3 linked regions of the Canis lupus familiaris genome follow. The protein of the gene in region 1 interacts with the protein of each later gene in a pairwise test. Links are inferred from orthologs where the notes say so. Each region holds a gene or a part of one and is shown in the gene's direction. Other genes may lie near its edges.

Region 1 (3,510 bases):
AAAGCAAGGCTTGGGGTCCAGGTTAAGATTGGGACTCTAACTAGAGTTGTTACTGTATAAATTTAGAACTTCCAAAGGATTTCACACTCAAAGAGAGAACTAGAAATAAACCCTAGCACAAAGTTAGTGAATCATTAGTGGGTTGTGAAATCAATTATGTAGTTACCATCAGCACTGTTTGTTGTTGTTTTTTATTTTTGTTTCTGAGTATCAAGCGTAGTAATGCTTCAGGTAACTTTTTGTTTCATTGTGAGTGTGTTAGTGTGAATTTATATTTGAATGCATATATGAATACAAAACATAATATTGGGAGGCAAAAACTAGTTGCAGAATGATAGGTAAATATCACTGAGTTTATGTTATAAAATAATCCAATATGCTGTTTTGGAAGGATGAATACCAACTGCAGTGTACCAACTTCTGAAGACAGAGGGAGTAGAATGAGATTAAGACAGGGTTCCAAGGAATTGTGCAAAGTCCCACCTGTGTGTATGTATGTGTGTATGCACACGCACGCACAGGCATGCAAACATTTACCTTAAACACTGTAAGTGAATATGACAAAATGTTAACATGTGGGTGATAGGCACTTGGATATTGGTTATATTATTTCCTGTACTGGGGGCACCTGGGTGGCTCACTGGTTGAGCTTCTGCCTTTGGCTCAGGTCGTGATCCTAGGGTCCTGGGATCAAGTCCCTGCAGGAAGCCTGCTTCCCCCTCTGCCTGCCTCCTCTCCTTGTGCCTCTCATGAATAAATAAAAATCTTAAAAAAAATAACATCATTTAAAAATAGTAATAATAATTTCCTGTACTTTTCTGGTATTTGTCCTATTTGATTTTTGAATACATGGTATCATGTGATAAATAAGTAAATATTATAGCTTTATTATTGGGAGAGTCTTTAGGAGGCAAATGATGCCAGAATGAATTTTTTTTTCAGAATGAAATTTTTATTTAAGTGTTCTTTAGAAGAGCACCATCAGGGGTCCCTGGGTGGCTCAGCAGTTTAGCGCCTGCCTTTGGCTCAGGGCGTTGTCCTGGAGTCCCGGGATCGAGTCCCGCGTCAGGCTCCCTGCACGGAGCCTGCTTCTCCCTCTGCCTGTGCCTCTGCCTCTCTCTCTCTCTCTCTCTCTCTCTCTCTCATGAATAAATAAATAAAATCTTAAAATAAAAAATAAATAAATAAAAAGAACGCCATCAGGAGCCCCTGGGTGGTGCGGTCAGTTAAGCTTCTGACTCTTGGTTTTGGCTCAGGTCATGATCTCAGGGTCCTGAGATCAAGCCTTGTATCAGACTCCGTGCTCAGCAAAGAGTCTGCTGAAGTTTCTCTTTCTTTTTCCCCCTCCCATGCTCATTCTATCTCTAAAATGAATGAATAAATCTTTTTTTTTTTTTCAAAGCACAGTTATATTATCATGGCACTTTTAATTAGATGAAAGCTATATACTCACTCTGTAAGTAAGTACATAGAAAGGGAAAATACATGAAGTATGATGTAGCCAAAAAGTGCTTATTAAATTAGAAGCCCTGATGAATAAAGGAAAAAGTTCTCTCTCTGCATGGTTCATTCAGGAAAAGCAAAGTACTACCCACTGAATAATAGAAGTTGGAACTAAACATTAAATCATTAAAAGTGTAACTGGAAAAAAAATAAAATAAAAATAAAAGTATAACTGGTTTCTTAACCATGAGGCAACAAAATAAAAATATATAGTGTATGTGTTATTTTGTCATTCACATTTTTGTTTGTTTATTTTACTTAGCTGGTCACCTGACATTTGAATGCCGCAACTTTCTCCGAGTAGATCCCAAAAGGGACATAGTTTTGGATGTGAGCAGTACAAGCAGTGAAGAGAGCGATGAAGAGAATGAAGAACTGAATAAATTGCAGGCATTACAAGAAAAAAGTAAGTAATGCTTTTCTTTCCCTCCATCCTTTAAAAATGTTCCTAAACATTCTGTTGTATTATGTCATGTTTATCTATTTTTCTGTTGTATTTATCATTTAGATATCTTGTGTATTTTATATAGGAGATAGTGCATAGGTAAGGAAATAGACTTTGAATGTTGCAAGTACTTTGCCCAAAATCAAACAGCTGATCAGTGTTAGAACCAGGAGGCAAGTCTACTTCTGATTCCGCAACACAGGTTTTGTCATTGTTGTTTCCATCACATTATCATATGTCACATGGTACAAAGAGTCTGATTTAAGACTTCGTTTCTACACTTGTTTGGCCATTTGTAGCATGTGACTTTCAGCAAGTCATTTAACCACTGTGAACCTTGATTTCCTTGCGGGATAACACAAAGTATTAGTTTGTTAAATCATATTCCTTCAAATCAGTGACCTTAGCCATTATCCAGCTTTACTAATGGTTTCAAATATATAAATGATCATGAGGCAGAGGGAAAGCTGCAAGAGTTCTAAGACCATTAGTACAGCTCCCCAGGTATTTTCTTTCTATGTCAGAACCCCCTCTGGCTGAGATTAACATGAGGTTTCTTTATTACTTACACACACAAAAAAGTCATTTAGTCATGAAGCATCTTAATTTTATGTCCATATAGTTGCATTTTCCAGGGTGACATGCCTCATAAATCCATAGATGCTGGGATTATTTACCATATGCAATCTTGGACAAAATAGATACATCCTGCTATAAGAAATCTATAAATAAGGATTCTCTTGCCAACAACTTGATCATAGGCTTGTAGCTTTCAGAATTATAAGAAAATAAATTTCTGTTATTTAAGCACAATCCTGTTTCTGCTCCCCCCTTCAAAGTATTCTCAAGCTAGCAAATACCATTAATTTGTTTCCAGGAGGTCTCTCATTAGCATGTTTACAAAGAAATTTGATAAATTATCTGTTTTCTTTCTTGGTGGCATCCTCCTTTCTCCTCAAAGAGAGAGTAGATTGCATACCTGTTTAACCATTTCTTTTCCCATCTTGTATATAAAATGGCCTATCCTTGCAAGGGGTTTTTAGGAATAAAATAATGCTGTATGTATGTGAAAATACTTTGTAAACTTCAAAATGCCATATGGTAGATGTCACACAGAATAAAAATGCTTGGAATGAGAGAGATACATAAAGGTTAAAGTCTCATTTTAGATCACAAGTCAAAAATAAACCATAAACACTTTAAAACTTTTTAAGTTTTCCATATTACATCTAGTGAAGGTAAATGAAGTCAAATGCCAGCATACTAGGACAAGCTGGGAAGGCAGAAGAAGGAGAGAATCCTAAAAACGGCAGACAAGACTTACACTACATATGAGTATATACAGCTTCAGGTAAAGATAGCTGCTTGAGTGTACACCTTTGATTTTATCACATACTGAAACACCACGAAATGATAGTGGAAGACTTTTTTTTAAAAAACATAAACCCACAAAGAGAAAGAAAATGAGATAGCAATAATAACAAAATTTTAAAAAGCAGAGGAGTTTAGTGATAATGCACTGCACACTTGAGAAAGTTCAATCCTTTAATAGTAGGAGGTCT
Region 2 (4,039 bases), on another chromosome or scaffold:
AAAGACGCGCGTGGCACTGCGGTACTAGCTAACTGTAGAAGACCCCAAATCTCTTTTTTTCTTTTTTTAAGATTTTATTTATTTATTTATTCTTGATAGACAGAGATAGAGGGGCAGAGACTTAAGCAGAGGGAGAGAGGGGCAGAGACTTAAGCAGAGGGAGAAGCAGGCTCCACGCAGGGAGCCCGATGCAGGACTCGATCCCGGGACTCCAGGATCACGCCCTGGGGCAAAGGCAGGCGCTAAACCGCTGAGCCACCCAGGGATCCCTCTCTCTTTTTTTCTAGCCCCAGGAACACCACCCCTTATTTGCCGACAGCCGAAGGTCACCGGGAGCGAGTCCTCAGCCTCTCTCATGCTCTGGCTACTGAGGCGTCGCAGTGGCACAGATTGATGACAGGTGAGGGGCTGGGGGACCTTGGACTCCTGGGTTTTAGGGAAGAGGGAGCCAGAGCCTGGAGTCCTTGCTGGTCGGAGGAGTGTGAGAGCTGCTGGGAATCCTATGTCTGGATGAGAAGAGTGCCGTAGAGGGCTTGGGAGTTCCAGATCCCAGGCAGGAGGGGACAGGGGTTCAAGACTCCTGGGTCAGGGGGGCGGGGGAAGGGAGTGGGGCCAGACCTGTGGGTCTGAGGGAGGATGGGACTGGGGGCTCGACTCCTCGGTCTGAGAGGAAAGGGGTCCCCAAGTTTGCCATTCTCACTTCCCACTCGTGCTGTCTAGGTGGAAACTTGGACTCCCGAGGAGACCCTCTTCCCCCTGCGCCGCCGCCTCCGTCAGACCCCACCCCCCAGGGGACCTCGCCCCCGAGATCTCCAGTGGCTAATTCCCACTCAGCCGGGTTCTCCCGCGGAGGTGGGGAGCGCGGCGCAGGCCCCGCCTCCTGGGAGCCCACGTGGGAATCCGGGACCGCCCCCCCGGCCCTGACCCAGGAGGAGGGGGCGTGGCCTCTGCGAGTCACGCTGCTGCAGTCCAGCTTCTGACCCGCCCCAGCGCCGCAGCCAATCGGAGCGGGAGGGGCGTGACCCGGGGGTACCGCCCCGAGACGGGAGCCGCTCTCGGCGCCGGGGGGCGTGATCTGGTCCCCGCGGTGGCCTAGGGTGGGAGACGTTTCCAGGGCCAAAGTTTGGTTTTCCCAACACTTGTCCAAATTCGGATTAAAACTTTGAACTTTTAGTCAATAAATTTCTGTCTGTTTGGGGTTGTGACACTGGGGTCTCTTCAGGGCGGAGCTGGAGCCGTGGCCTCCTGCGTCCTGACGGTCTGAAACCTGTAGGTCTGGAAAAGGAGAAGCAGGGCCTAGATTCCTGGGTCTGAGGGAGGAGGGGGTTGGATGCCATAAATCCTGAGTTTGAGGAAGGAGGGGATTGGGGGCCCAGACTCCTGGGTCCGAGAGTGGAGGGGCTGGGGACCCGGACTCCTGGGCCTGAGGGTCTGAGAGTAGAGGGGCTGGGGGCCTGGGCTCCTAGGTCTGACGGAGGAGGGGCTGGTTGCCTGGGCTCCTGAGTCTGAGGGAGGAGGAGCTGAGGCCCCAGACAACTGGGTCTGAGGGAGGAGGGGGCGGGGGCAAACTTCCAGGCTTCTGGCCTTCCTGGCAACGCCCCCCCAGGGCCGGCCTTCCAGGATCCAGCCCCTATTTATGGTTCTGCTCCACGGCCTCACTGGACTGTGGAGGTGGAAAGAAGCAGAGTGAGTGACAGGGAGAGTCAGACAGAAGCAGGATGGCAACAGGGACGCGCTATGCCGGGAAGGTGGTGGTTGTGACAGGAGGCGGGCGCGGCATTGGAGCCGGGATCGCGAGAGCCTTCGGTGAGTAGGGGTCTGGCGAGTCAGGGTCTGGCTACTTGGGGAATATTAGAGATTGGGAGCGGAGGGACCCTGGGAACTAGTGGGTGTGGGAACTTCAGTACTGGAGTCAAGATTCTTAGCCTATAAAAACCCAATTTGCAATGTTAATGAAAGGGTTGACAGCCTAAGCCTGGGGCCTGAGCTTTTGGCAGTTCTCCAAAAATGGTTACTCTCTTTTTCTGGGTCTCAGTTATTCTATCTACAAAGTGGGGGTGGCTGGGGGAATGTGGCTTGCAGGTTTCGGGTTTATTCTGGAACCCAGGGATGGGGGCTCAGGAACCCCAGCAGGCACCTACAGTGGCCAAGGAGAATATGGGTCAAGTCTTCTGCCCTTTGCTCTAGAGGAACATCATGGGACTTTGGGGTCATGAGGGGAACGTTTGGAAAGATGGGCCCCACTCCAGGTGGCCACAGGAGGGCAGCAGAGGCCTTTGCCAAGATCTGTGCTGGAGTAACCTGTTTTTCCATTCTCAGTGCAAAACGGGGCCCAAGTGGTTATCTGTGACAAAGATGGTGAGTGAGCGTCCCTTGGTCCTCACCCCAGCCCCCTCCTCCCTCACACCCAGGAGTCTGGGCCCCCAGGCCCTTTCCTCTCTCAGACCCAAGAATCAGGACCCCAGCCCCTCCTCCCTCAGACCTAGGAGTCTGGACCCCAGCCCTTCTCTCCCTGCAGAGTCTGGGGGCCGGGCCCTGGAGCAGGAGCTTACTGGAACTGTCTTTATCCTCTGTGATGTGACCCGGGAGAAAGATGTGCAGGTGAGCTATTCTTGACCCTGTCTGGCCCCAAAGACTGCTGCTCCGGACTTTCCCTGATTCTGCTGGCCAGGTTCTGGGTCTCCTGCAAAGTTTCTCCTTTATCTCTCACTATGGAGCTCTTGTCACACCTGTCACATAGACTGGAACAACAACAACAAAAATCCCTCACAGTGGATCTCCTTCTGGAAGAGTCTTCCTCTCCCGCCTCTGGGATTCTATCCGTTCACTTCGGTCAATGTCTCTCTGATGTCCACCCTCTGCCCCCCACCCGGACACCAGGTCTCTGCAGTGTGAATATATCCAGCCCTCTGGTGATTTAGGGGAAGCCCCCACTTCCTGTAGCTCCCTTCACCTTGGCTGTGATCCACCTCCCCCTTTGCTTTTTTTTTTTTTTTTCCCCTTTGCTTTTGGGAGTCCAGGATCCTCAAGGCTGGGTGCCAGCCCTGCTCACTTACCTCTTTGTCCTCAGACTCTCATTTCTGAGACTGTCCGTCGTTTTGGCCGTCTGGATTGTGTAGTCAACAACGCTGGCTACCGTGAGTTGTGTGGCCCACAGGCCATTCTCCCTTGGTGTCCACCCACCTCCCCGCTTCCATCCCTTCCTTTCCCTCCCCCTCAGTTCCCCATCTGTCTTCTCCATCCCCTTTCCCATCCCCCTGTCTCCTTGGATGGGACAGTACAGCCCTGGAAGGCCCTGCACTGGGGCTCACATCCTGGCTGGTTCCATCCTGGCCTCAGTTCTTCTGTTTCTAGAATGGGAATGATGATCATGAACAACAGAGTTGTTGTGGGTATTAAATAAGATAAACTACTCGGCCTCATAATTATCACAAATATCTTGAAGAAACAGCTCCCATCTTGTGGTCTCAATTTGCTTATCTATGAAGTGATGGCAATGACCCTTCCCTTTGCTGATGACTATGAAGGTATCCTCATGAGTGTGGTTTTTTAGGTCCTCTTCAAGGTCCCCTTTGAAGGGGAAATGCTGTCAGTTTAACGACTTACCCTTCATAAGAATCTCTCATGTTGGTAAGCCAGGGCTCAGAGAGATGAACTGATTGCACTGAGGTCACACAGCAAGGCCTGTCATAAGAGTGACATCCTCTTCAGCTGCACAACGTGCCCCCCTGCTTATTGTTGGCTTTTTTTAAGATTTTATTTATTTATTCATGAGAGACACAGAGAGGGAGAGGCAGAGACACAGGCAGAGGGAGAAGCAGGCTCCATGCAGGGAGCCTGATGGGGGACTCCATCCCGGGTCACGCCCTGGGCTGAAGGCAGCGCTAAACCGCTGAGCCACCCAGGCTGCACAACCCTCCCACCCCCTCCACCGCTGCGTATTGGCTGGGCAACTTTAAGCAAGTGGCTCACCCTCTCTGGGCTGCATTTTCCTCCTTATATTGTTGTAAAGATCAAAGAGATGGCTAATACCAGTTCA
Region 3 (4,138 bases), on another chromosome or scaffold:
CCTAAACGCCTGAGCCCCCTAGGAGCACCCCCAATTTTTTTTTTTTTTTTTACAAATTCTTGTGAGTCTAAGGATTATTTCAAAATAAAAAAAAACAAAATAAAAAATATTTTAAAAATCTATCAAAGGGCTTAATTCAAGATGATAGACAGTATACAATTTATCTTCTTAATATTTTTTATATATCCCACAAATTTGGGATGTAGTATTTTCAGTATGGCTTAGTTCAAAGTATTTAATTTCCATCATGGTTTATTCTTTGACCCAGAGTTATTTGGAAGCCTTTTTGTTTTCTTAAATTTCCAGATGTATATTTGTATTTTACATTGTGACCAGAGAATGTGGTATGTAGTGTACAATTCTTTGAAATTTGATTTATATTAGTTGAGACCCAATTTTTTTCTTTAAGATTTTATTTATTCATGAGAGACACAGAGAGAGAGAGAGCGGCAGAGACACAGGCAGAGGGAGAAGCAGGCTCCATGCAGGGAGCCCGAAGTGGGACTCGAATCTAGGTCTCCAGGGTCAGGCCTCGCTGAGCCACCTGGGCTGCCCCTCAATTTTTTTTAATAAGTAGCCTAAGTATGCTTAGGAAGAATGAGTATTTTTAAGTTTGGGGTGCATGGTTTTTTATGTTAATTGTGATTTAAAAAAAAACATGAAGCCATTGCAGCAATCCAGTAGAGAGACGATGATAGGCTAGGAGCAGGGACCATGGAGAGAAGCGGAAAGAATTCAGATTTATTTGGGAGACAAAACGAGCTCTTCGCGGCGGCGGCGGCGGGACAAGGGACAAGCCATCAAAGATGACCTCCTTGGCTTCTGCCTTATGCAATTCGACGGATGGCGGAGCTATGCAAGTGAGCTAGGGAATTCTAAGGGGGATTAGGAAATCTCTGTATTTCCCCCAAGAATGTTTCTTTACTTCCCACAGGGGAGAGGAGGAAGGTGGCGAAACCGAGGCGTGGGGCTGAGACCCGGCAGCTCTCCGCCGTCTCTTAGGCGCTCTGCAAGGACCTTGGCACCGCCTCGGTCACCTCTCCAGGCGTCGCACCCACCGCCCGAGGAGCTCAAAGGGCCCCGGTGCAGAGTCCTCCGGGCCTCCCCGGGCCTCCGCCCACAAGCCGGCCCCGCCCCTCCGAGGCCCGCCTTGGCCCCGCCCCCGGCGCTTCCGGCCCGCCCACTCCTCTGCGCCCTCCGGGGCCGCGCTCCGCCCCCGGGGCCGCCGCCGGCCTCCAGCCCCGCCTGCCAGAGTGATTGACGGCTGTGTTCTCCAATCACGACGCGGACGGGCCAAGCGCTCGCCAACCAGGCGGGGGCGGGGGCGGGGGCGGGGGCGGGGGCGGGCGCTGAAGCCCAGGTCGGGGAGCGGGGGGCGGGGGCCAGGAAGTGAGAGCCGAGGATGAGTCCCGCCCGGGAGGTGGTGTAAAGGTGACTGGGCGTCTGGGTTCCCCAGTTTCCTCCTTTCCTCGTCCCCAGGTCAGGGATCCTTGGCAGCCGGGAGCCAGGCTCTCCACTTGCCCTGTGGGCTGTGGAAGGGGGGTGTGTCTCCGTAAGACAGCGGTGGAGGCTCTTCCCTGGACGCCTTCTCCGGCTCCTTCCCGTGGCCTGGGGTGAGGGTCCTGCCTCCCTCCGCCTGCCCGGGCTGAGGGCGGTGAAGTTGTTTAAGATCCTTCCGTAGCGGTGGGTGAGGAAAGTCTTCCGGGCTCAGCCCCGGCAGGGGAGGGGGGGAGCGGACCCGGAGGTCGCGGAGGGGGGAAGGAGGGGAGGGAGGAGCGGACCCCGAGGTCGCGGAGGGGGTAGGGGAAGGGGGAGGAGGGGAGGGGAAGGGGGGAGGAGGGGAGGGAGGAGCGGACCCCGAGGTCGCGGAGGGGGTAGGGGAAGGGGGAGGAGGGGAGCGGACCCCTAGGTCGCGGAGGAGGGGAGGATGGGAGGGGAAGGGGCGAAGAGGGGAGGGGAGGGGAGGGGAGAGCGGGCCCAGAGGTCGCGGAGGGGGGGAGGAGAGGAGGGGAGGGGAGGGGGGAGCGGGGTCGGAGGTCGCGGGGGGGGGGGAGGGGGGGAGGGAGGAGCGGACCCCGAGGTCGCGGAGGGGGTAGGGGAAGGGGGGGAGGGGAGCGGACCCCGAGGTCGCGGAGGAGGGGAGGATGGGAGGGGAAGGGGCGAAGAGGGGAGGGGAGGGGAGGGGAGAGCGGGCCCGGAGGTCGCGGACGTGGGCGCTGTCCCGCGGAGCCCGAGGTGGTGGAAGGTGGAGGCGCGGGGAGGGCGCCCCGGGCCTGGGGGCAGCAGGAAGCAGGTGCTGAGCGCAGGGACGGTGGGGAAGGAAGCCTGCGGAGGTCGAGGCGGTTCCGCGAGTCCGGGAGGCGCTGCTCCGGGCTGGGTCTCTAACCCCCCTTCCCCCCCCCCCCGCCCCCCCCCCCCCCCCAGCACCATCAGCTTTTCGCCTTGGTTTCTTCCTCCTCAGGCTGCAGGGAGGCCCCGAACATGTGGAATCCCAATGCCGGTAGGTGCTCGGGGGCTCGGCCGCAACCGCTTTTCAGAGGAGCCGGGCACGGGGAGTTTCTGTCGCTTTCTCCGCCCCCCTCGCGCACAGAAGCGGTCCTCGCTCCTCCTCGGCTGACCCTGCGCTCGTCGGTCCCGAGTCACCGTCTCCCTCCCTCCCCACCCCTGCCGCCGCCCTCGCCTTCCCTCTGCCCACCGGCTTTGCCTCCCCGCCGCCCCACCTGCTCCCCCGCCTTTGCATTTCCCTGTAAGTAGTGAGTGAGAAACGGAACCCCCTTCTTTTTGCCCCTGTTTATCGTCAGAGGCTCTGAGCTCTTGGAATCCTAACTTATTCTTTGCTTCTTCCACCAGGACAGCCAGGGCCTCATCCATATCCCCCTAACATCGCGTACCCTGGAGGTGCCAATCCTGCCCATCCGCCACCTGTGAATCCCGCCTACCCCCCGGGCCCCTATCCAACTCCCCCAGGGGCTCCCCAGGGGAATCCAGCTTTTCCCCCTGGTGGGCCCCCTTATCCTGCGCCACAACCAGGGTACCCCGGATGCCAACCCACGGGTCCCTACCCACCTCCCTACCCACCACCTGTTCCTGGCACGCCTCTTGTGAATCCCTTGCCACCTGGCATGGGGGGACCGGGAATGGTGATGGACAAGAAGATGCGGAAGAAAATGAAGAAAGCTCATAAAAAGACGCACAAACACCACAAGCATGGCAAGGTCAGTGCCCCCTGGAGCTTGGCTAGGAAGGGGTGCCCACCACAGAGGCATGGGGGGATTTGCAGTCTGAGGACATGAAGCAGCCATTGTGTGGCTCTGGTCGACGGTTCTTCTTTGTAAAGTATTTCCACTGGTAAGAATCTGGTAATCTTGAAATACTAGGCAAATCGGGCCTTCTATCGAGGAGAGGCTAAGCTGAGCCATAGAATACAGAACAGAATCCAAAGCCCTTCCTGTCTCTGTCTCCCAGAACTTTTGCTCCACCCCCATCCCCAGACGCTTGGTTTAGCAAGTCAGACACCCCCACCTTCAGTGTTCTGGAGGTGCTGTGTTAATTATCACAGGGGCCTTTTTGTCCTACCACCCAGCAGGACTCTCAGTGACTCAGCCTCAAACAAAACCTAAATTTCATGCTCAGCCCCAGAGATGCTAGCCCTCAGCTAGTATCTTCATTCTAGAAGAGCGTTAACTAACAAGTAGCTCTCAGGACAACCCTGGAAGGACCGAACCAAGTAGCTCTCAGGACAACCCTGGAAGGACCGAACCCACCTGGATCTTCCTGGATCTTGAGGAGGCCTTAATTTACATTTTAGTGCCCAGTGTTTATTTGCCTTAGGGCTTTGGGCACTACCCCTTTCCGGATCTTTGGTAGGAATTGCAGGAGAAGGAAAGATATGAGGTTGAATGGGGGTAGAAATTGCCCTGCAGAGATGAAAAAATGTGTTTGGTGACAGTTGTTGGGGGTGTGCAAGTAAAGAACCTTGACTAGTACTCTCCCCTCCTTCCTCACTTTCTCCCATTTGGGGCTTAGGAAAAAGTAAAGGTAGACAGGCACACAGAGGCTGTTTCTTTTTTTTTTTTTTTTTTTTAATTTATTTATGATAGTCACAGAGAGAGAGAGAGAGGCAGAGACACAGGCAGAG

Evidence for each region.
Region 2: the proteins of SREK1IP1 (region 1) and HSD17B14 interact in binary tests that used the Homo sapiens proteins (3 or more experiments, as listed by UniProt). The two-hybrid records come from large-scale screens. The link is inferred for Canis lupus familiaris from reciprocal best matches to the Homo sapiens genes SREK1IP1 and HSD17B14.
Region 3: the proteins of SREK1IP1 (region 1) and PRR13 interact in binary tests that used the Homo sapiens proteins (3 or more experiments, as listed by UniProt). The link is inferred for Canis lupus familiaris from reciprocal best matches to the Homo sapiens genes SREK1IP1 and PRR13.

What each region holds. Positions count from the first base shown.
Region 1 is NC_049223.1:49,855,912-49,859,421, reverse strand, and holds part of SREK1IP1 (protein SREK1IP1), read left to right. Parts: intron 1-1,765; coding exon 1,766-1,909; intron 1,910-3,510. UniProt on the Homo sapiens protein: Possible splicing regulator involved in the control of cellular survival.
Region 2 is NC_049222.1:108,190,865-108,194,903, forward strand, and holds the start of HSD17B14 (17-beta-hydroxysteroid dehydrogenase 14), read left to right. Parts: upstream 1-1,237; 5' UTR 1,238-1,269; intron 1,270-1,606; 5' UTR 1,607-1,718; coding exon 1,719-1,806; intron 1,807-2,319; coding exon 2,320-2,358; intron 2,359-2,518; coding exon 2,519-2,601; intron 2,602-3,070; coding exon 3,071-3,137; intron 3,138-4,039. Other genes in the region: PLEKHA4 (pleckstrin homology domain-containing family A member 4), read left to right, coding at 288-400, 721-980. UniProt on the Homo sapiens protein: Catalyzes the NAD(+)-dependent oxidation of L-fucose, yielding L-fucono-1,5-lactone, which rapidly converts spontaneously to L-fucone-1,4-lactone. Can also act on D-arabinose and L-galactose, with lower catalytic efficiency. Does not use NADPH.
Region 3 is NC_049248.1:44,879,456-44,883,593, forward strand, and holds the start of PRR13 (proline-rich protein 13), read left to right. Parts: upstream 1-1,336; 5' UTR 1,337-1,431; exon of another isoform or gene 1,432-1,687; intron 1,688-2,433; exon of another isoform or gene 2,434-2,461; 5' UTR 2,462-2,481; coding exon 2,482-2,500; intron 2,501-2,850; coding exon 2,851-3,215; intron 3,216-4,138. UniProt on the Homo sapiens protein: Negatively regulates TSP1 expression at the level of transcription. This down-regulation was shown to reduce taxane-induced apoptosis.